Linked DNA regions of Sus scrofa. The protein of the gene in region 2 interacts with the protein of the main gene of each other region in a biochemical or structural test. Links are inferred from orthologs where the notes say so. Each region holds a gene or a part of one and is shown on either strand. Other genes may lie near its edges. The genes, in order: MYSM1, histone H2A type 2-C, USP16, RNF168, RNF8, KAT2A and UBR2.

Region 1 (3,500 bases), on a different chromosome or scaffold from region 2:
TTCTATTCTTGTGTATTTTTATTGCAGGCATAAGAGAGAGTATGGAAGACGTGTATTTTGGATCTTAACTATCCTCTTTTACAAGGAATCTAAAAATAAGTCTTTTCTTTTGGAGAAAAGCCAAACAATTGCATGTTTCCATATTTTAGAGAAAATAAATTAATGTGAGTTTTTGCAGACTGTTTATTCCATTAACCCTATTTTAATCTCCTAGTATTCTTGTCTGCTGCCTTCTAGATAACTGCAACAAAGAGAACAACTCTTAGCATTTGGAGGCTTCTCGTTTTGTGCTAAAACACTGAGACCTCCAATAGTTGTGTGTGTGTGTTCATGATGTTTTTCCATAGGAGGACCCAGAGTGATTTTTCTTTGTATCCTTATGATACCTTTCCTCAGTAGAGAAAATAAATGTTATTTTCATTTTGTAAATGAAAGAAATGGCATCTTGGAGGGTTTTAGTGTTTGGTTCAAAGTTTCTTAGCCAGCAGTGAAAATAGATCTAAAATCTTAAGCCTTAGTATGCTGAGCCTAGCATCTGGTTCCTCTACTCTGCTACTCTACTTTAGAAAAAAGTAATTACTGCTATTGTAAATTACTCTCCTATGATAAGTGGGATTTTGATTTTTCTTCAGGTGGGTTTTATCTCTGTGTTTGAGTTGAGTCTGTTTTGTATTTCTTCTAGCATGCTCATGTATCTATGGCAGAAGTGATTGGTCTGTTAGGAGGAAGATACTCAGAAGTTGATAGGATAGTTGAAGTAAGTTTTTTTCTTAAAATTTTAAGAATTATTTAGTCCTGCCATACCAAATATTTTTATAGATTTAAGTGCATATAACTAACATACAGAGTTTATGATATAAATGAGAATATGCAAATGTGGAAAGTTATATATTCCCAGAGGTGGGTGGACATTCTGTGTAATGAGCATCTGTTTCCTTTTACCACCAAGAAAAGGAAATGCTGCCAGGCCTTGGTTCCTTGTTGGCCTTCACAATAAAAAACTTCAGCTGCTAAGAGGCTATGCTAACCTTATAGTTGAAACTTGCTCTATATCATTTGCTAGAAATTATCATCATAAATTATTGGGGTCATCAAAAGAATGTACAGATATGTACATTCTTAATTTGTTTAGGTAGAAAAATGGATTTTGAATTCCTAGCATACGGCCCCAGTTTTGGAGAGTAATTCATTTGCAGTTAAAGGCTGCCAGTGATATAGGCAAATGAAAGTTTCTTATCTGTGTATGAAAGGACTAAAACAATAAAGTAAAAGTGTAATCATTTAAGGATTAATCCTTTATAGGTCTGTGCAGCAGAACCATGTAACAGTCTGAGTACAGGACTGCAGTGTGAGATGGATCCTGTCTCACAGACACAAGCCTCGGAAACCTTGGCTGTCAGGGGCTATAGTGTTATTGGATGGTATCATTCTCATCCTGCCTTTGATCCTAATCCTTCCTTACGAGATATTGACACTCAAGCCAAATACCAGGTGTGTTTATAGGTCTTTGTGTATGTAGTCTGTAAATAATTGCATATTCTCACATTCTCTCAAGAGTAATTGTGTTTGTTTAAATTTAAAAAATTAGCTACCTTAATACACACAGGCCATCAAAATAACAGTGGTAATTCCTTCCAGAGCCTTCAAAAATAATGGGAATGACTGGTACAGGGACTGGGTAGAATTGAAATAATTTGGGAATATAATATATTTTGCATCTTTGGAAGAAACAAGATTTTGTTTTGTTCTGCATTTTGTATTGGATATTAGGATGTTTTTCCCACAGGCAGCTGTTTATAAATTATTACCACATTGATAAAGATTACAGCTGAGGGGTAGTGAATATGATTTGTAACTGTATTGATGCCAAATATAGATCTTGCAGGCCAGGCAATCTTTTTTTGTTTTATTTATTTACTTATTTATTTATTTATTTTTGTCTTTTTAGGGCCACATCCACGGCATATGGAGGTTCCCAGGCTAGGGGTCTAATCGAAGCTGTTGCTGCCAGCCTACACTGCGTCTGTGACGTACACCACAGCTCATGGCAATGCCAGATCCTTAACCCACTGAGCAAGGCCAGGGTTTGAACCTTGCAACCTTATGGTTCCTAGTCGGATTCGTTAACCACTGTGCCATGACGGGAACTCCCAGGTGATCTTTTTAATGGTGATCTTTTCAAGTTGGTTTGAACATGTTTTGGCCTGAAAAATTTAGGGTACAAAATGAATATAAAAGATGCTTAATTTCGTTGCTGTTTGGAAGTGAATTTTTTAACACATCTTTGCATTCCCTTTTCTTCTATTAGATGTTTAAAATGTTAGTATGGGTAAATACTAACTTGTAAATGTATGTAGTTGAAACTAATTACACTTTTTTTAAATTGTAGAGTTACTTCTCCAGAGGCGGTGCAAAGTTCATTGGAATGATTGTTAGTCCCTATAATCGAAATAATCCTTTACCTTATTCTCAGATTACCTGCCTTGTTATAAGTGATGAAGTTAGCGCAGATGGCTCTTACCGTAAGTTTTCAACAAAAACAACTTCAACTTTATCCTACTTCTGCCTTCCTTTTTTTGAATCACTATGCAAAGCAATTTTATGGAAAAGTTTGTGTCCTCAGCTGGAGCATCACTGCTTGGATACCATGTAGTATAGCCACCTGCTTTCCTTTTAGGATTTCCTTCTATATTCAAGTCCCCACTGTTACCATGGCCACTGGGCAAAAGGATTACGACATAGAGAAAACTTATTTATGGCCTTGGAGACATTGCAGTTAAAAAAAAAAAAAAAAAAAAGACAAAATCTCTGTTCTTTTAAAATTTTTTGATAAAGGCAGACTGGCTTTCTCTGTGATGGCATTGAAATGAAAAAAATACAAAGAATAATGACCACCCTATCACCAGCTCTCCTTGACCTCCCAGTGTAGGCTCAACAGTGCCTAATTATTTTTATATCTCTTAGTTTCCATTCTATCTCAAGAAATAATTTGGTTGGTTCAGCCCATCATATGACTTGGTTCCTTTGGGATTTATACCCACTTCTGGTCTAGTCAACTCTGGCTGGATAGAGAGTTAATGTAGCAGACCAGGAAAAGTAGAGGGGGCGTAAGAAACAATAGCATCTCTAGCATATTGTCTTCATCCTTAATACCTCTGCTCTGGGTCACTGCTGTCTCTGAATACTGTCACTCTACGTTATACTTTCCCCCATTAGCTCCTGAGCTCCTTAAAGGTAGATACACTATACTTCTTTTTCTATCCTCAGTTTCTAGCACAGGGCCTGGCATAAAGTAGGTAATAAACTAATGTTTAACAAATTAATTTCTTCATTTTTAATGATACCATTTAGATGCCCTCTCTTTGGTAAAGACCTCAGAACTACCACGCCCCCTCCCCCCCATGTCATTTATTATTAGTTGCTCTATTTGTGTTCTTGCCTTCATGGTCACTTTCGTCTCTCAGTGTAATTTATCTCCTTAGCCCGTCTCACTAAACTCT
Region 2 (2,509 bases):
CAGTGAGGGACCAGTACAGGCAGGAACAAGAGACGCAAATTCCTGAGTGGATGACTTGGGAAGGTCTCCAAGAGGTGACTTTTGAGCCCAGACTAAAACGACCAGCGCCTTGCAGTGACCCGAGGCCGGAGCGTTCCAAGAAGAGAGAACTGAATGCAAAAATGATCCACAAACAGAAATAGGGATTTCAAAGGGCCCAAGTGAGCGCCGGCGGGAGATTTTGAATATTCATGTCGTCCAATCAGGAAAAGGCTGAGACCAGGCAGCGCGGGCTCCGCAAGAAGTACCCTAGCAGCGGGTATCCACAGGAGGCTACATCTCAGGGCATAACTGGCGACCGGGCACTCAAGCAGCTGCCAGTTTCTCTGGACAATTCTTCAGGGCTGTGACGCAGTGTTCGCAGGACCTGGGCTTAGTTATGTTCTGGGGTCCTTTCTTAAATGAGAATAGCCCGAAATCAGTTTTGGAACACCAACGAGACGTATCCAACAGAGCCACCAGGATACAACAGTCTAGGATCAGACGATTGGGAGGAGCAGTCTCAATATCCTAATTTAGAACTGACTCATAGTAAAGCTAAGCAGCCCAGAAAGGGAGTTAAGACGCGCCCTACATTCAAAAGCAAAGCCAATCACGCACCAGAAACCTCAAGTCGGAAGAGCTTAAAAAGGTACGAATGCCTTCTTACAAGACCTTTTTAACCAACTAGAACTTACTTTGTGAGAAGGAACTAAGAGGGAAAACAAGTGAACAAAGCTCTTTTCTGGTGACTAGGTGGGTGGCTCTGAAAAGAGCCTTTTGGAGTCAAGCGGCACGGCGACTCGAGCGAGCGCCACGTCCCGGCAGGGACTCACTTGGAGCTGGTGTACTTGGTGACTGCCTTGGTGCCCTCGGATACGGCGTGCTTGGCCAGCTCGCCGGGCAGCAGCAGGCGCACGGCCGTCTGGATCTCCCGGGACGTGATGGTCGAGCGCTTGTTGTAATGAGCCAGGCGGGACGCTTCGCCCGCGATGCGCTCGAAGATGTCGTTGACGAAGGAGTTCATGATGCCCATGGCCTTGGACGAGATGCCCGTGTCCGGGTGCACCTGCTTCAGCACCTTGTACACGTAGATGGAATAGCTCTCCTTGCGGCTGCGCTTCCGCTTCTTGCCGTCCTTCTTCTGGGCTTTGGTGACGGCTTTCTTCGAGCCCTTCTTGGGCGCGGGAGCAGATTTTGCTGGCTCAGGCATTGTGGAACACAACACCGTTTAGCAAAGAAAAGAAGTATGAGAATGGGCGGGCCTGATCCTTTTATAACCACCGTATGCAAATTAAGGCTCCAAAAGTCTTCGGTTTCCATTGGACCGTGTAGAGACCTTGCGTTATCAGTAATGTCTACGCAACAACACCGACGCTTGACCTTATTGGCCACTTCTGGAGCCAATTTAGGACCAATGAAAAACTCGTTCCTGACCCCACCCCTAGGAAAGCTTATAAAGGCTTTCCAGTTGCTGATCTTTCAATCTTGTTTATTGCGAGAATCTGGGTTTAGGCTTCTAAATCTTCTTTTCAGTCATGTCCGGTCGTGGCAAGCAGGGAGGTAAGGCTCGCGCAAAAGCCAAGTCACGCTCGTCCCGCGCAGGCCTACAGTTCCCGGTGGGGCGAGTACACCGCCTGCTGCGCAAAGGCAACTACGCCGAGCGGGTGGGGGCCGGCGCGCCCGTCTACATGGCGGCGGTCCTCGAGTACCTGACCGCGGAAATTCTGGAGCTGGCGGGCAACGCGGCGCGAGACAACAAGAAGACGCGCATCATCCCCCGCCACTTGCAGCTGGCTATCCGCAACGACGAGGAGCTGAACAAGCTGTTGGGCAAAGTCACCATCGCCCAGGGCGGCGTCTTGCCCAACATCCAAGCTGTCCTATTACCAAAGAAAACCGAAAGCCACAAAGCCAAAAGCAAATAAATCCTGACACAGTAAACCAAAGACCAAAGGCTCTTTTTAGAGCCACCCAAGTTTTCAAAAAAAGAGCTAACGCGCTATTCTGTGATCAGCCCTTCATTTGACACTTTGGTGGCTCTTAAAAGAGCCTTTGGGGTGAAAGGGGATGGTGTCAGGCCTGATTACTTATTCTTGCCAGGCTTGTGACTCTCCGTTTTCTTGGGCAACAAGACTGCCTGGATATTAGGCAAGACGCCGCCCTGGGCAATAGTGACACCCCCCAGTAACTTGTTGAGCTCTTCGTCATTTCTCACGGCTAGTTGCAAATGGCGAGGGATGATACGCGTCTTCTTGTTGTCTCGCGCCGCGTTGCCCGCCAGCTCCAGGATTTCCGCGGTCAGGTACTCCAGCACTGCCGCCAGGTACACCGGCGCGCCGGCCCCCACCCGCTCGGCGTAGTTGCCTTTGCGCAGCAGGCGGTGTACTCGCCCCACCGGGAACTGCAGGCCTGCCCGGGACGAGCGCGACTTGGCCTTGGCCCGAGCTTTGCCTCCCTGCTTTCCGCGTCCTGACATTACGGCTAAAAA
Region 3 (3,500 bases), on a different chromosome or scaffold from region 2:
TCAGCTGAGGCCCCGTAGCACTGCCTCTTTGTACACATATTACCTCCCTGCTCCCTCACTGTTTTTCTGGCACAGTACCTGAGAACACTCCCCAATAAACCACCTACACACAAATTTCAATATCAGAATCTGTTCCCCAGAGAACATGACATATGCTAGCTAACATTCTGGTTACCCATACCATGCTTTTAGGTAATACCTTCTAAAATAAGTTCAAAGAGTTTAATAAAACCCCACATGAATCAAAATCTAAGCATACCTGATGGCCACATTTAAGACAAAGCCAAACCGAAGGATTTTCTGTTTCTTCTTCAGATTTATCTTTTACTTTATTGTCCGTCTTACAATCTTGGCAAATGTTCCATTCCACATTCACCAAAGCCTTTTTCAAATTACCTTGTTCCAGTCCTTTTCTAATGTGTCTGCATGTGGGTTCTATTAAAACAAATAATAAAGGAGGACATGAGGTAAAATATGACTTTCTTCAGTTAATCTCAAAACTTACACACTTGATTTGAACTTCAAAAATGAATTTACTCTATAAACAAATTGTTAGATAACCCAAAACCTTACATTTTTGTTTGTTTGATATTTGATTATGAGATTATGTAAGAAAGTGATTTTATACAAATTTTGAAGTCCTCCATATAACCACCACCACCCCAAATTCACTTCAATTTCTTTATCACATGCATTATTCTCTTTTATTTTAAAATGTCTGTAGAGAAGGTCCCTCATTCAACAATAGTCAATAGCACAGCCAGCGCAGGCCTGGCACTGTGGTAGATGCCCGGAAACCTAAAAGTGACCAACTCACAGCTCTTTCTTTGAGCAGCTCCATGCTGGCAGGAGAGGCAAATAAGTAAATAAATGTACAAGATGGAGTTCCCGTCGTGGCGCAGTGGTTAACAAATCCGACTAGGAACCATGAGGTTGCGGGTTCGGTCCCTGCCCTTGCTCAGTGGGTTAACGATCCGGCATTGCCATGAGCTGTGGTGTAGGTTGCAGATGCGGCTCGGATCCCGCGTTGTTGTGGCTCTGGCGTAGGCCGGTGGCTACAGCTCTGATTCAACCCCTAGCCTGGGAACCTCCATATGCCGCGGGAGCGGCCCAAGAAATAGCAACAACAACAACAACAACAAAAAAAAAAATGTACAAGAATCTCCAAAACATACTATTGTAGCCCAAAAGAAGGCTAATGTCAATGAAAGTTTCACAAGGGAGGCAATGTCTGTATAATCTTGGAAGATATTTTCAGAAATAAAAATTTATCATATTGTTTAAGCACTTAACCACAAGCCAGAAACTGTACTAAATGTTTGCACACAGTATCTCATTTACTCTGTACAACTACCCTCGAAGGAAGACACTACCATCCCAATGACAGATGAGAAAAAAACTCAAATTTATTGCTTGAGGTCACAGAGCTACTGAGTGGTTATGCTGGAATTTGGACTCAAGTCTTCTTTATTTCAAGCTCATAGTTTAAACTATGACCTCATGGGGTAAAAAACAATCGGAAGAGGCTACATCCTGCAATCAAAGGAATGAAGATATAAATGTAAAAGTGCATGCTGTCTGCTCAGAATGGCAGTCACACGTGTAAAAAGGAGCAGCTGGACTTGAGAATGAAAACCCACTAGGGTCAGATCAGTATCAGGCTTTGCAAGCCATTCTAAAGAGCTTCAGTATTTTCAGGGCCCCTAAAGGTTTAGAAACTCATCAAGTGGCACAATCAGCTTTATGCCCAACGACCTTGCACCAAAAAAATATAACTGCAAATAAGATCACGTGAAAAACTACTAAATCCTAGCAAGTAGCCAAAAAAACACAACCAGAAAAAAGAAAATACTTTTTCAACTAGCAAATCAGCAAAGATTTTTTACAAATGATGCTAACCTGTGTTAATAAGGGTTCAGGGAAATGAGCACTATGTTATCCTGCCAGGGGGCCTATCAATTAGTAACACATTTCTGGTTTTTTTTGTTTGTTTTTTGCTTTTTAGGGCTGCACCTGCAGCATATTGAAGCTCCCAGGGTAGAGGTCAAATTAGATCTACAGCTGCCAGCCTACACCACAGCCAGGGCAACTCGGGATCTGAGCCATGTCTGTGAACTACATATACCACAGCTCACAGCAACACCGGATCCTAACCCACTGAAAGAGGCCAGGGACTGAACCCACATCCTCATGGATACTGGTCATATTCGTTTCCGCTGTGCCACAATGGGAACTTCCTAGTAAAATGTTTCTAAGAACAATTTGGCAACAGATCCAAAGAGCCTTGAAATATTTATGCCATTTAATTCAGCAACTCTAATTCTTGGATATGTAAGGAGAAGATAACCAGATGTGCAGAGTTTTAGCTACAAAAAATGTGTGCTATCACTCCATTCATAACAATGAAGTTAAGACTACCTAAATTTATAACAATAGGGGATTATCTAAATAAATTATGAAATATACACTCATGGTCTTTTACATCACTGGAATAAATATCATGTTGTTAAAATGTTGCAAAGACTATTAAATGACATGTCTACACAAACATGAAGTTAAAACGCAAATTAAAGAACAATAATGTACACTTTGATCCTATTTTTACATATTAAAATATATACCATTAAAGATTTAATTGGTGAAATATACCTAAAGATTCAGAAGAATCATCAATTGGAACAGTTTTTCCCTTTGTCCGTTTCTTTCCCATGTTGGCACTTTATGGATTACTTACTGACACAAAATAACAATCTAGAAGACAAGATAAAGTTAGCTTGACAAAAAAAAAGTATGTTTCACAATTCTCTAGGAGATAGTAATATATCTAAACCACATTTTGTGTGTCTATCATACTTTTATAAGTTATAAAAACCACTCACACATGTAATCTAGTTTTCCATAAGAACTCTGAAGTAGACAGAGTATTACCTCTGTTTTTCATGGCTCAAGAAGCTGATTCTTAGTAAGATTAAGAAATCTACAATAAATGCAAAGGTCATAGGAGGCAACCTATGTCTTTTTACACAGATCTCGAAAAGTCTCAGCACTTTATACACTATTAGGAATTCAACTTCTCACTACGTAAATGTGGAATAGTGGTGGCACTTTGAAATGTAATTTCCCTTCCTTCTAAGCTATCTTTCTTAACTCTTGCAGGTAATGCAATTAGAATGATAATTTCTCAAAGAAAATTTAAAATAATTCTGAGAACAATCTCTGAGAAGGAGTTAGAAAATTTACAAAATAACTTCAAAGCCACATATAAAACACTGTGATACGCAGTGTTGCATTTTTCCACACCAGGACTTGCTATGGATGTTAGCTGAAAATTGATTACATCTACATTCTCAACCATTTACATTATTATTCTTGCCAAAATCAGTTTGGAAGACTATGACAAATCTAGTTCATATCAAATCTTCACCTCTTTGGTCAACAATTCAAAATTTAAAAACATGAAAAACATTGAAAGTACATATAAGTCCATCTAGCTTTATTAT
Region 4 (4,023 bases), on a different chromosome or scaffold from region 2:
AGACACCCCCCCCCCCCCCGTCATGATGACTAAGCAAAGTCCAGCCACCTGCCCCTAACCACCCCTCCCTCACGCATCTGCTGCAGTAAGCTTGCTTCCGCATCTACTACCTTGCCTGACCTCACTCTGGTCCGCCAAGCAGGAGCTCAGAAGAGGTAGCCCATAAAAACTTTGTGAAAGACTTCTTCCGGGCTCAGACTCTGGAGAGCAATCTCCTCTGAGCCTGCCGGCATAATAAACGTGAATTCTCCAACTTTCCCAGTGCTCACTTGGTTTCTCCCTGGGTAAAAGAGCTGAAACACTGCAGCCACAGGGCTGTCGCTAGAGCTGATACGCTGCAGCGCAGGGCTGTTGAGCAGCTGCCTTAACAAAACCAAGTGGGAAAACATTTCAAAATGCATAAAGTTAAAATATTTTCCTTTTGACTTCTTTTGTAATTTTGATTGGTCTAGACTGAAATTAAACAATAAAGCAGTGCCTTATAATTGATGCACATGTTGGCTAAGCCCCAGGATCCTGCCAGTCCTACAGTTTGTTTCCCAAGTACCTGTTAAATTGTAGCAAGTTTGCAGATTCTTTGACCACAGCCTTTCTCAGAAATCATCCTAGAGATGCTTTTACAAGAACTCTGGAAAGCGACCTAAGAGGCTTCCTTACAAATGAAAAGAAACAAGGGTAGTTTGAGGAGTACTAAGGGAAGAATTTAAAAATTATTGTCAAGCTTTTTTGGGGGGGGCGCACCCACTGCACAGAAGAGTGACAGGACCACGGATCGAATCCAAGCCACAGGTAAGAACTATGCAGCAGCTTCAGCAATCTGGGATCCCCAACCCACTGCACAGGGCCAAGGATCAAACTAGCCTCCGCGGCAAACCGGACCCTTAAAGCACTGCGCCACAGCGGGAACTCCATCGGCTTTTAATTTGCCTTTAAGTTTCACTTTTTCTGACAAGAGACCAACCTTGCGACATACCCTGATTTCTGCAGCCTCTGGGAGCAGAAATCAAGAGGGAAATACTAAAGTGCAGTCAATGTGACGACGCAGGGTCTGCGAAGAAAGGACTGCAACACACCGAGAAGACCAGCTCTGGGGGGGCGGGGCGCGGGGCTCGGGTCGGGCAGCGCGCGCAGACTCGGAAGTCCCGCCCCAATGTTAGCCCTCTCTACCTTTGGTTGGTTCTCTAGGTGGGAGGGGCTGTTTTGGCGGGCAGTCGTGACGTCACTAGCCCTTGTCGGGTTGCTACAGCACCGCGCCAAGGTTAGGCTTTTGGGTAGATGGAAGAGAGGGAGGGGCGGGCTCAGAGCGCCCGGAAGGGCTCGCGCGCGGCCCCCGACAATGGTAAAACGGAAGTCCTACTCCTTCGGAGCTCCTCGTCCGGGCGGAAGAAGCGTTCTTCCTCTAGCGGTGGCTGCGTAGCTGCGCGCCTCTGCGGTCTGCGGCTTGGCTTCCGGGAGCTACGGGAGCATCCTCACCTGGTAAGAGAAAGGAGGGGAACTTGGCGCGTGCCTCCTGCGGGGGCCAGAGAGCCCACCATCCGCCCTGCCGCAACGGCTGTTAATGCTGGGAGCAGTCAAGGTTCATTTGTTTTCATTTCGGACGTTTGTCTTAACATGGACAAACACACTTCCTTCCACGGTCGTACTGTTTACCTGACCCTCAGAACACTTTTTTGCTTTAAAGACATTTGATGTTCCCAGTCTCTGAATTCTGGTAGGCTACTGGGCATAAAATTTAAACACAAAACTTAATTCGCTTTCTCCGAACTTGGGCTGTAGATGAGGATTCTTTCTCTTTCAGGTGTTGATGTTGATTGAATATGCCTTTTTAGCATATTAAAATGGCTGTACCCAAGGACGCCATCCCTTCATTGTCGGAATGCCAGTGCCAGATCTGTGTGGAAATTCTATTTGAGCCTGTGACACTCCCTTGTAACCACACGCTGTGTAAACCATGCTTCCAGTCGACTGTCGAAAAAGCAAATTTGTGCTGCCCCTTCTGTCGCCGCCGAGTCTCTTCGTGGACTCGACACCGCACCCGAACAAATTCTCTTGTCAACATGGAACTGTGGAAGATAATTCAGAAACACTATCCAAAAGAATGCAAGCTTAGAGCCTCTGGGCAAGAATCAGAGGAAATTGGTGAGTAAAAATCCAGCTTGTTCATTGTCTAAAAACCAAAATCTTTTAAAAAGCGAATCATCACTAGTCTTTTTTTTTTTTTTCAAGGATAAAAAAAGAAAATCTGGGTTAGTATTTGTCCAAATTTTTCACATCTTTGAGTTTAATGGGCCCTAAAATGTTGGTTAAGGTCACAATGGCAAGATTTGGTTCATTGTTTTAAGGCATAGGCTTAGTTTGGTCGGTGTTTGTTGGGTTAAAAATGAAAAGAAAACCAAAAAAAAAAAAAAGAAACAAAAGAATTACCTACTAGGGTCTTAAATTGTGTCGAAAGTTATATAAATAGTCACAGATGAGCAACAGTCAGTATGGCAGCAGCAGAAGTAAGGAAACTGCTGGATTCCTGTGTTAATATTTTTTTTATTTTCAGTTACTTTTCTCTAACTTTCTTGCCTATACATCTCCATTCATTTAGTTCTTAAGCTTTCAACAAGCCTAAAATAGCTTTCTGTGGCCAGTTTCCTCTAGTTCAGTCATTTTTATTCAAAGCCCTCCACAGTGTGGACTTAACAACTCTTCATTTTGCCCCCAGACTTTAGCGGCTTGACCACTTATGTGGTCATTAAGCCCTGCAGTGTTTCTTCTCCAGGCTTAAATGTGATGTGGATGCTCTGGTGTACTTGCTTTTTTTGGGAATTCTTTTTATTATGGTAAAATTTGCCATTTTAACCATTTTTAAGTGTACAATTCAGTGTCATTAATTACTTTCACAGTGTTTGGAAACTGTCACCACTGTTGCCAAAACTTTCATCACACCAGACAACTTCTTTAACCATTAAGCATCCCATTCTCCTTACTCCATCCCACTCCTGCTTTTCGGAGTTTCTAATCTCTGTGAATTTGCTTGTTCTAGATAATTTATGTAAGTGTATTCATACAGCGAATGATCTGTTGTGTCTGTTTTCTTTCACTTAGCATAATGTTTCATGCCGCCTTCTTTTTCTTTCTTTCTTTCTTTCTTTCTTTCTTTCTTTCTTTCTCTTTTCCTTTTCTTTTCTTTTCCTTTTCTTTTTTTTAAAGGGCCAAACCTGTGGTATATGGAAGTTCCCAAGCTATGGGTTGAATCAGAGCTGCAGCCGCCTGCCTGTGCCACAGCCACAGCCGGAGCAATGCTGGATCCAAACTGCATCTGCAACCTACTCCACAGCTTGTGGCAACATCAGCTCCTTTAACCCACTGAGTGAGGCCAAGGATCGAACCTGAATCCTCATAGATACTACTCGAGTTGTTAACCCACTGAGCTGCAACGGGAAGTCTACCGCGTTCTATCTTTATCAGTACTCCATCCCTTTTTATGGCTGAATAATATTCTACTCTATGGATATATTGTATTTTGTTCCTTCATCCATTGTTGGACATTTGGGTAGTTTCCACCTTTTGGCTATTTCAATAGTACTGATATGAATATTCATGTGCAAGTGTTTGAATGTGTTTTCATTTCTTTTGTGTACATATCTAGGAGTGGAATTGCTGGATCATATGGTAATTCTATGTTTAGCTTTGTGAGGAACTGCCTGGCTAGTGTTTACCATTAAAATTGCCATTGTTTTCACGAGTGCCTTTAGACTTGGGCTAATCCATATTCTGTTCATTGTGAAGTCAGTGTCTTTGAGGGAAATCTTTGGAGCTCTCAGTTCTTACTGCCTGCCTTTTTTCCCTGGGCAAAACATCTGAGCCACTGCTCTCTAGCTGGAAGCAGAGACTACAGCTTATTTCTCTTTGTTGGAACAGGTCAGTGCATAGGCATGCTAGTTCTGGTCTCCTTGACTCTTCTAGAACTTTTTTTGCCCTATGAGTGGGCTGTAATGAGGGCAGTGGGGTCCCAGTTTCTTCTTGCTGTGCCTG
Region 5 (3,500 bases), on a different chromosome or scaffold from region 2:
ATTTCTGGTCCTCCTCAAAGTGGCTGTTATCTACTGAAGGACTAGGAGAAAGCATGCAGTAGGCAGATGATCTTGTTCTTAGCAGTGTGGCTTTTAAACCTTCAACTTCACACACACGAACATGGGTTCCCAACAGTCAGATGGTGGGAAGCACCTGGAAGGGAGGTGAACTTTTATTTATTTTTGTCTTTTTAGGGCTGCCAGCTAGGGGTCTAATCGGAGCTGTTGCTGCGGCCTACACCACAACCACAGCAACACAGGATCTGAGCCATGTCTGCGACCTACACCATAGCTCACGGCAACACTGGATCCTTAACCCACTGAGAGAGGCTGATGATCGAACCTGGCTCCTGATGGATACTAGTTGGGTTTGTTACCACTAAGCCACAGTGGGAATCCCACTGGGTTTTTAAAGGGACTGAACATGATAATCAGATCCATCCTGCCTCCAGGCACTCTTCCCCACCCAGTAACCAATCCTTCTGATCCACTAGCTTCCTTGTGCTTTGCCCCAGGAGACACATTCTTCTGCCACAGCGACATTCAAGTCTCATGCAGAGTGGCTCTGCAACCCTCAGCAGTGCAGGCGCCAGATGTGATGACCTCACTTAGTTAAATGAGCAGATAGTCACTACACAAATATGGTTACTTGAGGAAACTCACCCGCTCCTTCCCTAAACTCTTTATCCAAACTCTCTGCCTGGGAAACTTGTTGGTAAATATATTAGGATGTCCAAAGTTAACACAGTAGGATTAAACTGATTTCTTTTTGATTAATATTATGCCTAATTTGTGTAATCAAGCTGTGACTCTTACTGTGAATCTAAATATGTTTTCCTCACATTTCTTGGCATTCTCCAAGGTGTGAGTCTTTTACGCGTACACATCCTATTTATAATTTATTATACACCCAAGGTTTTTAATGACACATGGACAGCAACTAAACTGTCTTGAACAACAGCACCATCTAGTGACCAGCACAGCAAACTGTTTTCTAATCACATCTTTATGCCAGCAACCAAGACATGTACACCCAAGCCATACCATTCCCTGCTGCTCAAATAATAGTTTATTCTACCTCAACTCTTACACATTCACTATCTTTAACTTGCTTTACTTTCCCCCATTTCTTCCAATTCTCACTTAGCTCAAGAATCTTTAAACAAAACAAAACAAAAGAATCATTTATGTTGACTCCTCTCCATCCAAAAAAATCATCCTAAGCCTTTGGTTGAGGGGACTCACCTCTTGTTCAGACCCACTCACCTTTTCGTTCCTTGATGAGAACAACTCGTCGTTCTTTCACTTCTGAGCTCAGATTATCTACCATCTTATTAATGCAATTGTCCAGAACCAGGGAGTGTGTTTTGGACTTGATGTCCTTCCGACAAATGGGGCATTCTACCTTCCGCTTCATCCACTCATTGATACAGAAGGAGCAGAAACTATGGGCACAGTTCAAGGTGACAGCCTAGAATGGGAAGGTGAACACACACATCAGAACTGTCATGGTTACTTCCCCAGGGCCGTTGTGATCCTTGAACTAAGACAGAAGTGAATTCCCAAGGCCAAATGGAAATTTAATCACAGCCTCATCCAGGGGGTTTACAAAGGGTATCAGAATCATTCCTAGGAATGGGAAATTTTAAGCTTCATGTTAGATGATTCATTTTTCTCTCTCAAAGTTAAGTTCCTAGACTTGGCTTCCAGGTAGGCTGATTTGCCTATTCTGTTCCAAACTCAGGTATCTCATGCTGCCAACATGTACCAGCTACTGTGCAAAAAAATGTCACCAGACATAAGAACACTGGTAAGCCTGTGAGTGTTTGGTATAAATACACCGTTAATTCTCTCATGAAAAACAAATGTACATCCTAATGGGGAATTACAAACTCAATTTTAATAGATGCAAGAGAAAAGAGAACTTAAGCTGGGAAAAAAGGAACTAAAAATGGGGGTGAAATGTAATGGGTTCAACTGAGAGTGCCTTAAGTAAAAAAGCCTATGAGAAGAGAGAAAGCAGAAGCAAGTCTGAATCTGAGCAGCTCCTCTGAGGAACCCCAATGATCAGCTAGTTCTGCCCAGGCTCTTTTCACTCCCCCAATATAAGCCATTCTTTGCATTACTCCCTTTTATGTATACCTCCTAAGAAACAACTTTTTCTGAGGCTCAAAAATCTCATTCTGGCTTTCAGGACAGCAGCAGAAAATAACACAGAAATTACGTATTTTCCAAATGCCAAGTTGAGACCAGAAAGCCAACTAGGAGAAGTTCTCAGTAAAGAATGAGATCAATTCTCATAAACAGCACTAAAAACCTGCATGATTAAAATGAAACCTCTTGCAGTTCCTGTTGTGACGCACTGGGAAACGAATCTGACTAGGAACCATGAGGTTGCAGGTTCGATCCCTGGCCTCGCTCAGTGGGTTGAGGATCCAGCATTGCTGTGAGCTGTGGTGTAGGTTGCATACAGTGCTTGGAGCCTGTGTTGCTATGCCTCTGGTGAAGGCTGGCAGCAACAGCTGCAATCAGACCCCTAGCCTGGGAACCTCCATATGCCACGGGTATGGCCCTAAAAAGACAAAAAAAAAAAAAAAAAAAGAAACCTCTTCCCAATACTGACTTTTTTTTTTTTTTTTTTTGTCTTTTCTAGGGCCACACCCATGGTATACGGAGGTTCCCAGGCTAGCGGTCTAATCAGAGCTGTAACGCCGGCCTACACCACAGCCACAGCAATGAGGGATCCGAGCCATGTCTGCGACCTACACCACAGCTCATGGCAATACCAGATCCTTAACCCACTGAGTGAGACCAGGGATCAAACCCAAAGCCTCATGGTTCCTAGTCAGATTCGTTAACCACTGAGTCATGACGGGAACTCCCCAACACGGACTTTAAGAGATGATCAGCAGAAATGGTCAGGCACACCTGCAAATCAAACCCAGGTCAAGTTCTCTCTTCTTCATGCTGTACAGATGCTCTCAATTACCTAACTTAGCACCCATTCCAATCCCTCTTGTCTTCCTCTATTAGAGCCCATAAGCCCCAACAAAACAACACTAACTGAGTTTCTCCAAAGTAGGAAATCAAATGACTAGAAATTGGGGGAAATGACGATCTGAGTCAAAGTGGATCTAAAGCAAAAGAACCAGGTCTATCCAGGAGAGACTTTTCAGGAGGCTACCACACTGCGTCTCCCTAGAGACCACTAGAAAAAAAGCAGCAGTGTGTGTATGAGATCTCTTTTTCAAAGGAGTCTGCCTGGAGTTCCTTCATGGCCCATCGGGGGTTAAGGATCTGGCATTGTCACTGCTGTGGCGCTGGTTTGATCGCTGGCCCAAGAACTTCTGCATGCCATGGGTATGGCCAAAAAAATTCAAAAAGGAATCTGAAAAGCACTCCTTTTTTATTTATTTAACAACTTGAGTCTAACACCTGTGGTGTTAAGATGAATGGGTCACAAATGAGAAATAGTGAAAAAAAAAAAAGTCTGTGCAGAA
Region 6 (3,236 bases), on a different chromosome or scaffold from region 2:
TTCTGATCTGGATCATTCTGTTGCCCTCCCTTCAGTGAGGGGCTCCCAGAAATTGCAGGGGGCTGTGCCTCCTCATCTGAAGGCAGAGGCCGTCTCTGTTCTTAGGCGCCAGTTCCCTGAGGGCAGCCTCCAGTCCCTCCAGTGTCTGTCCCAGGCTGCTCCCTTGGTTGGAGGATGGAGCTGTGGGACAGACTGTGCCTCTCCCCCGCCAGATTCCTGTCCATGCTGGAGGAGGAGATCTACGGGGCAAACTCTCCGATCTGGGAGTCGGGCTTCACCATGCCGCCCTCGGAGGGAACCCAGATGGTGCCCCGGCCGGGTATGTGCCGTGTGCGGCCGGCCGGGCTCCGCAGGCTCTCGGCTTGGCCCTCCCCGCCTCTGTGGAGGAGGGGCTGTGCGTGGCGGCAGTGGGGAAGCACGGGAGGGCTCGGCCGTGGGTGGGAGAGTCCACCTCCCTTTGCAAGATGCGCCAGCGCCTTCGCTCTCCATCCTCTGGTTTTTTCGTGTCTCAGCTACAGTCAGTGCCGCGGTTGTTCCCAGCGCCCCCATCTTCAGCCCCACCATGGGTGGGGGTGGCAACAGCTCCTTGAGCCTGGACTCCGCAGGAGCCGAGCCCATGCCAGGTGGGTACTTGACCCCTGACCTCCGTCCTCGTCCCCCCCTCCCCCAACTTCTGCTCTCCCCGGGAGACCTTGTCAACCTCCTCAGCAGGCGAGAAGAGGAAGCTCCCCGAGAACCTGACCCTGGAGGATGCCAAGCGGCTCCGTGTGATGGGCGACATCCCCATGGAGCTGGTCAACGAGGTCATGCTCACTATCACGGATCCTGCTGCCATGCTGGGGCCCGAGGTGGGCCGCCTGGCTTCCTGACCGGTCGGGGAGGGGGCCTCGCCACCTGAGCCCCCTGCTTACCGCCCCTCCTCTGGCGCCCAGACGAGCCTGCTGTCGGCCAATGCAGCCCGGGACGAGACGGCCCGCCTGGAGGAGCGCCGTGGCATCATCGAGTTCCACGTCATCGGCAACTCGCTCACGCCCAAGGCCAACCGGCGGGTGTTGCTGTGGCTGGTGGGGCTGCAGAATGTCTTCTCGCACCAGCTGCCGCGCATGCCCAAGGAGTATATCGCCCGCCTCGTCTTTGACCCGTACGTCCCCAGGAGAGCCCAGCGCTGCCATGCCCAGGCACCTCCGCTTAGGCTTCTCCACTGCACTCGTGCATGCACGCACGCGCGCAGACACACACACACTCCTCTCTCCAACCCTGGGCACGTTTTGCTCCTTAGTTCCCAGCACTGAGTATAGCTCAGGCCTCCAGAGCTGCGGGGTCCTGGGGAGTATCTGGGGTCAGGTAGGGCCTGTGACCTGACACCTCTCCCTTCAGGAAGCACAAGACTCTGGCCTTGATCAAGGACGGGCGAGTCATTGGTGGGATCTGCTTCCGCATGTTTCCCACCCAGGGCTTCACGGAGATTGTCTTCTGTGCTGTCACCTCAAATGAGCAGGTCAAGGTGAGTCCATGCCCCTGGCCCCAGCTCCATCCCACCACCTGCTTCTTCATCTGGATCCCGTCATCCCACCCTCCTTTAATGGCCAGGCAGTTCCTCACCCTCCCACAAGGTGGCAGTTGTGGTTGATGACGGAATCAAGGAAACACCCGTTGACAAATGGAGCCCAAGAATCAGTTACACTTCTGTTTCCTTCTAGTTGGGTTTTTTTTTTCCTTTCTTTTTTCTTTTCTTTTCTTTTTTTTTTTTTAGGGCCACACCTGCGACATACAGAAGTTCCCAGGCTAGGGGCTGGACAGAGCTACAGCTGCCGGCCTACACTGCAGCTTGTGCCAATGCCAGATCCTTAACCCAATGAGCGAGGCCAGGGTTCAAACCCTCATCCTCATGGATCCTAGCCTGTTTCTTAACCCACTGAGCCACATCGGGAACTCCCTCATAGTATTTTGTTGTTGTTGTTGTTGTTGTTGCTATTTCTTGGGCTGCTCCCGCAGCATATGGAGGTTCCCAGGCTAGGGGTTGAATCGGAGCTGTAGCCACCCGCCTACGCCAGAACCACAGCAACGCAGGATCCGAGCCGCGTCTGCGACCTACGCCACAGCTCACGGCAACGCCGGATCGTTAACCCACTGAACAAGGGCAGGGACCGAACCTGCAACCTCATGGTTTCTAGTCGGATTCGTTAACCACTGCGCCACGACGGGAACTCCCCTCATAGTATTTTTGAGGTAAAACTGACCCATAGGACTGTGTGAGTTTAGGGTGTGCAGCATGGTGATTTGAGTCATATGCGTTTTGAAATGATTACCACAGTAAGTTTAGTGAACGTCCATCATCTCATATAGATACAAAATTAAAGGAATAGAAAAAATATTCTTTCTTTGTGATAAGAACTCTTCGGATTTATTTAATTTATTATTATTTTTTTTTGCCTTTTCTCGGGCCACTCCCACGACATATGGAGGTTCTCAGGCTAGGGGTCAAATCGGAGCTGTACCCACCGGCCTACACCACAGCTGCAGCAACACAGGATCTGAGCTGAGTCTGTGACCTATACCACAGCTCATGGCAACGCCGGATCCTTAACCCACTGAGCAAGGGCAGGGATCAGGGATCGAACCTGCAACCTCATGGTTCCTAGTCAGATTCATTAACCACTGAGCCACGACAGGAACTCCTCTTCAGATTATAGTAACACTTTTTTTTTTGTCTTTTGTCTTTTTTGGGGCTGCACCCATGGCACATGGAGGTTCCCAGGCTAGGGGTCCAGTCAGAGCTGTAGCCGCCGGCCTACACCACAGTCGCAGCAATGCAGGATCCAAGCCAAGTCTTCAACTTTCACCACAGCTCACGGCAATGCTAAATCCTTTACTGAGCGAGGCCAGGGATCGAACCGTCCTCATGGATGCTAGTTGGGTTCGTTAACCTCTGAACCATGATGGGAACTCCTACAGCAACACTTTTGAGTGGATCTGTATGTCCTTCATCAGAAGAACTTTTACTTGACATTGCGGAGTTAATAAGTTTTACAACAGCCCTGAGCTGGGTGGGTGATAATTCTGGTTTCTGTCCTTTATTGTTACAACAGACCCCCTAGTAGGATCCCTAGTTGTCCAGTTTTACAGATCTGAACAGGTCTGCATGGTGCCTCCTTGATCCTGATGTGTGCAGAAGTCACTGTCTCTGGGGGTTCAGATGCTGCGATGAGTGGAGTTCCCCCTCCCCCACCCAGTTC
Region 7 (3,500 bases), on a different chromosome or scaffold from region 2:
GGTGTGCCTGCTAAATAACCCCCTGGGGGGTGAGCACAGCTGGCTGCAGTCTGTGGACTCTGTCAAGGAGGTCACTCTGGCTATCTGGTTTGGCAGTCCCATTCCCAACTCTTAGAATGTCACGAGGGCCATCAGGATAATAAGGAGGGGAGGAAATGGGGCAGAGTGAAGTTTTTTTGTTTTTCACTCCAAAGAGCTATTCTGATTGTCCTGTGGCATCCATAGCATCGGAGCATTGCAGGAATAGCTCCTTGTAGCTTCTGTGGCTTTGTGTGGGAGGGCCAGCACTCTTCAAGTGATACAGAAGAACAAATCTTAATTGATAAGAGATGCATTTGATTTAGAACATACAGAGCAATACAGCAATACTTGAGGCTTAATCACTTTCACTCTGGTAGCTGCTATTACATCAAAAGCAGTTCTGCTAGGAGTTCCCATCGTGGCACAGCAGAAACAAATCTGACTAGGAACCATGAGGTTGTGGGTTCCATCCCTGGCCTCGCCCAGTGGGTTAAGGATCCGGTGTTGCCGTGAGCTGTGGCTTGGATCCTACATGGCTGTGGCATAGGCCAGTAGCTGTAGTTCTGATTCAATCCCTTGCCTGGGATCCTCCACATGCTGCGAGTGCAGCCCTAAAAAAAAAAAAAAAAAAAAAAAAAAAAAAAAAAAAAAAAAAATTTCTGCTAACAGCAATTCCTCAAGTATTATTAAAAAATTTTCAGACCATTTCTTTTTGCTCAAAGTGGGTAAAAGTCCAGCTTTGGGGAGTGGAAGTTAAAGGCCGGGAAACCAAGACAAGATAAGTAGATGGGCTCCCCAGACGCTTGACTGCAAGGATACTGCTTGTGCCACCTGCTAATGGTTCATCCTGCTGCTGTGAGGAGGATGGGCTCTCAGGAAGAAGAGCCCCAGCCAGAGAGTGAGAGCACTGGCGCTCCCAGCTGGGGACTCGCCAGGGCCTGTGCTCTGGTTACATTAGACCCTGAAGTTGTTCACATTCAGCTGCTTTGTAGCTGAAAGAAGGTACTTGAAGGAACATCTTTATCCCTGTAATTCTTCCATCCTCTCCCCTACCCCTCCCTGTTTTCTATTTTTCCAATAAAATGGACCATGAGTGGGTAGTTTTATAGCCTCTCAACCTAGACCCTCCTGCTCAACCCTACTCCGCTGGTCCCAGACCCTAATCTGAGTAAGTGTGGCTTGTGTTCGATTTCCTCTTTTCAGAATTTATTCCCCTTCAGCTGTTCCTAGCAAACCTTCAGAGCTAACATATTCATAGCCACAGACGCCTGCCAAAGAGAAATTTTGCAGAGGATCTGCAGAAGACCAGTAACTTGTAACTTTTCCTAAATCAGGAAAGGTTGGCATATAATAGATGAATGAACCGAATGCATCCTGAGTGACATGTGTCTTCTTTCTAGACGGGGCAATCCTTTACATTTGTGCAAAGAGCGATTTAAGAAGATTCAGAAGCTCTGGCACCAGCACAGTATCACAGAGGAAATTGGACATGCACAGGAAGCAAATCAGACACTGGTTGGCATTGACTGGCAACATTTATAATTACTTCACTACCAAAACACAAACTTGGATTTTGTAACCCAGTCGGCTTTTCAAGAAAGAGAATAGGAAATAGGTTCTACTGAATTTGGAAATAAAGTCTTTATTTAAGCTTTTCTTCCCAGTTTTATTTTTATAGTTTCTGGCTCCAGGGATTGATGAAAATCATCTGTCAGCAGATTTTCTTGCATCATTTGCTCGTGTCCCTCAAACTTCTTGAATTTTAGAATCCAGCAAGGAGCTTCTCTTCCTGGGCTGGACACAGCCCCTCTGTGGGCCTCTGACTGCGTTTGGCTGTTCCCGGTCGTCTGAGCCGTGTCTACTTCTTGAGCACCCGGGACTCCAGGCCTGAAGCTGATTCAACAGCAGCAGGAAACAAAGTCTCTGGTCTCTTGGGGTCACACTTCTTAGTCCCTCTCAGTGACTGTCAACGTTGGGACTGGGTCAGTGTCCCCACAGCTGACGGGACCCTACCTCTAAGCAAAGCAGTGGACTTTGAAAGTGGCATTTCCTTGCCTCCAGAAGCTGTGAGGGGGGAGGGTTGGGGGGGGACTCGTGCCGGTGGAGCCTGTGCATGGAAGGGGAGGAGGTGGTGTCTCTCTGTGCTGGATGATTTTCAGGGCTTTGTAAGTTTGGATTTTTGTAGGATTTTTGGCTTTGAGGGGAAAAAACTCATTTCAAAGGGCTTTTTGAAAACTTAGAGTATCATAATTTTTCAGACAATGTATTCTCTTATTTCTGAGACTAAGTTGAGAGAGTGTGTGCATCTAGAATCAAACACTAGCAAAAGAAAAGGAAAATTCCCCCACCCCCACCCCTTCCAGCACCTCCTGGGATAGATGAATTGCTGTTTACCTGCTGGCTCACTTAGTACATTCCTGGGACAGCCTGTGTGCCCAGGTTTTTTATTATTTTAAAACATTATTGTTCTTACTAAGAGGTGCCTTCCTAGAGTGATAGCCGCTTAGTAAAATAGCTTATAACCATGACACATCACACACCACTCCTGTGTGATACACGTGACGTGTGCTGTGAGCTTGGGTACGCAGAGTGAGGACCGATTTGGTAGAGAAATAAATACAGAGCCTCTCTGAGGTTAGGCTAAGGGACAAATGAATAGTAAGATGTTCTTGGATTTTTTTAGCCAATGCAAGTAACCTTTTCACTCAGTTTTCTTGAACTGCATCTAAAATTTCCGTTCTGCTTAGCTTTGCACACTCTACACAAGAGGAAGGTCAGAAATCCAGGAGTTCCCGTCATGGCGCAGTGGTTAATGAATCTGACTAGGAACCATGAGGTTGCGGGTTCGATCCCTGGCCTTGCTCAGTGGTTAAGGATCCAGCGTTGCCATGAGCTGTGGTGTAGGTCACAGACATGGCTAGGATCCTGCGTTGCTGTGACTCTGGCGTAGACCTGTGGCTATAGCTCCGATTAGATCCCTAGCCTGGGAACCTCCATATGCCACAGGAGCGGCCCTAGAAAAGGCAAAAAGACTGAAAAAAAAAAAAAAAAATCCAGACTTTCAGCTAAAGTATGTGGGGATGCAGAAGCCATACTCACTGTTTCCTCTCTGGGGTGGTGGTGAAGAACCCCTTTCTCTGAAAGGATGACCTTAACACTTCTTGCCTAGGATTGACTCAGTTGAGAGGAGGCGCTTCTCACCCAACAGAAAGAAAATCCACATTAGAACCCAGCACTTGCCCCCTTCTTCTGTCCTTTCTTCCATTCATAAGATCTAGTGATGTGGGCTGTGGATGACATCATGATTTTTTTTTCTTGGCCATACCCATGGCGTACATAAATTCCCAGGCCAGGGACTGAATCCACACCAGAGCAGGGACAACACGGGATCCGTAACCCACTAAATCACCAGGGCATCATGATTTTAATGTTTATTTAGGCCTTTGTCACATCCCCATTCCTTTAGCTTTTAAGTTGTG

Evidence for each region.
Region 1: of the proteins of histone H2A type 2-C (region 2) and MYSM1, one has a biochemical effect on the other in vitro, tested with the Homo sapiens proteins (2 studies listed by BioGRID). The link is inferred for Sus scrofa from reciprocal best matches to the Homo sapiens genes H2AC20 and MYSM1.
Region 3: of the proteins of histone H2A type 2-C (region 2) and USP16, one has a biochemical effect on the other in vitro, tested with the Homo sapiens proteins (2 studies listed by BioGRID). The link is inferred for Sus scrofa from reciprocal best matches to the Homo sapiens genes H2AC20 and USP16.
Region 4: of the proteins of histone H2A type 2-C (region 2) and RNF168, one has a biochemical effect on the other in vitro, tested with the Homo sapiens proteins (4 studies listed by BioGRID, with this or other methods). The link is inferred for Sus scrofa from reciprocal best matches to the Homo sapiens genes H2AC20 and RNF168.
Region 5: of the proteins of histone H2A type 2-C (region 2) and RNF8, one has a biochemical effect on the other in vitro, tested with the Homo sapiens proteins (2 studies listed by BioGRID). The link is inferred for Sus scrofa from reciprocal best matches to the Homo sapiens genes H2AC20 and RNF8.
Region 6: of the proteins of histone H2A type 2-C (region 2) and KAT2A, one has a biochemical effect on the other in vitro, tested with the Homo sapiens proteins (2 studies listed by BioGRID). The link is inferred for Sus scrofa from reciprocal best matches to the Homo sapiens genes H2AC20 and KAT2A.
Region 7: the proteins of histone H2A type 2-C (region 2) and UBR2 form a complex in vitro, tested with the Homo sapiens proteins (2 studies listed by BioGRID, with this or other methods). The link is inferred for Sus scrofa from reciprocal best matches to the Homo sapiens genes H2AC20 and UBR2.

Annotation. Positions count from the first base shown.
Region 1 is NC_010448.4:153,783,240-153,786,739, forward strand, and holds part of MYSM1 (histone H2A deubiquitinase MYSM1), read left to right. Parts: intron 1-27; exon of another isoform or gene 28-164; intron 165-682; coding exon 683-757; intron 758-1,302; coding exon 1,303-1,491; intron 1,492-2,389; coding exon 2,390-2,522; intron 2,523-3,500. UniProt on the Homo sapiens protein: Metalloprotease with deubiquitinase activity that plays important regulator roles in hematopoietic stem cell function, blood cell production and immune response.
Region 2 is NC_010446.5:99,168,243-99,170,751, reverse strand, and holds histone H2A type 2-C, read left to right. Parts: upstream 1-1,481; 5' UTR 1,482-1,556; coding exon 1,557-1,946; 3' UTR 1,947-2,009; downstream 2,010-2,509. Other genes in the region: histone H2B type 2-E, read right to left, coding at 851-1,231; histone H2A type 2-B, read right to left, coding at 2,105-2,497. UniProt on the Homo sapiens protein: Core component of nucleosome. Nucleosomes wrap and compact DNA into chromatin, limiting DNA accessibility to the cellular machineries which require DNA as a template.
Region 3 is NC_010455.5:192,379,882-192,383,381, reverse strand, and holds part of USP16 (ubiquitin carboxyl-terminal hydrolase 16), read right to left. Parts: exon of another isoform or gene 2,752-3,500; 5' UTR 2,711-2,751; coding exon 2,650-2,710; intron 436-2,649; coding exon 260-435; intron 1-259. UniProt on the Homo sapiens protein: Specifically deubiquitinates 'Lys-120' of histone H2A (H2AK119Ub), a specific tag for epigenetic transcriptional repression, thereby acting as a coactivator.
Region 4 is NC_010455.5:133,624,323-133,628,345, forward strand, and holds the start of RNF168 (E3 ubiquitin-protein ligase RNF168), read left to right. Parts: upstream 1-1,223; 5' UTR 1,224-1,476; exon of another isoform or gene 1,477-1,711; intron 1,712-1,798; 5' UTR 1,799-1,838; coding exon 1,839-2,139; intron 2,140-4,023. UniProt on the Homo sapiens protein: E3 ubiquitin-protein ligase required for accumulation of repair proteins to sites of DNA damage. Acts with UBE2N/UBC13 to amplify the RNF8-dependent histone ubiquitination.
Region 5 is NC_010449.5:32,959,312-32,962,811, reverse strand, and holds part of RNF8 (E3 ubiquitin-protein ligase RNF8), read right to left. Parts: intron 1,472-3,500; coding exon 1,267-1,471; intron 155-1,266; coding exon 108-154; 3' UTR 1-107. UniProt on the Homo sapiens protein: E3 ubiquitin-protein ligase that plays a key role in DNA damage signaling via 2 distinct roles: by mediating the 'Lys-63'-linked ubiquitination of histones H2A and H2AX and promoting the recruitment of DNA repair proteins at double-strand breaks (DSBs) sites, and by catalyzing 'Lys-48'-linked ubiquitination to remove target proteins from DNA damage sites.
Region 6 is NC_010454.4:20,641,493-20,644,728, forward strand, and holds part of KAT2A (histone acetyltransferase KAT2A), read left to right. Parts: intron 1-212; coding exon 213-319; intron 320-512; coding exon 513-623; intron 624-708; coding exon 709-848; intron 849-932; coding exon 933-1,141; intron 1,142-1,377; coding exon 1,378-1,504; intron 1,505-3,236. UniProt on the Homo sapiens protein: Protein lysine acyltransferase that can act as a acetyltransferase, glutaryltransferase, succinyltransferase or malonyltransferase, depending on the context.
Region 7 is NC_010449.5:37,781,308-37,784,807, forward strand, and holds part of UBR2 (E3 ubiquitin-protein ligase UBR2), read left to right. Parts: intron 1-1,224; coding exon of another isoform or gene 1,225-1,279; exon of another isoform or gene 1,280-1,421; coding exon 1,422-1,563; 3' UTR 1,564-3,500. UniProt on the Homo sapiens protein: E3 ubiquitin-protein ligase which is a component of the N-end rule pathway.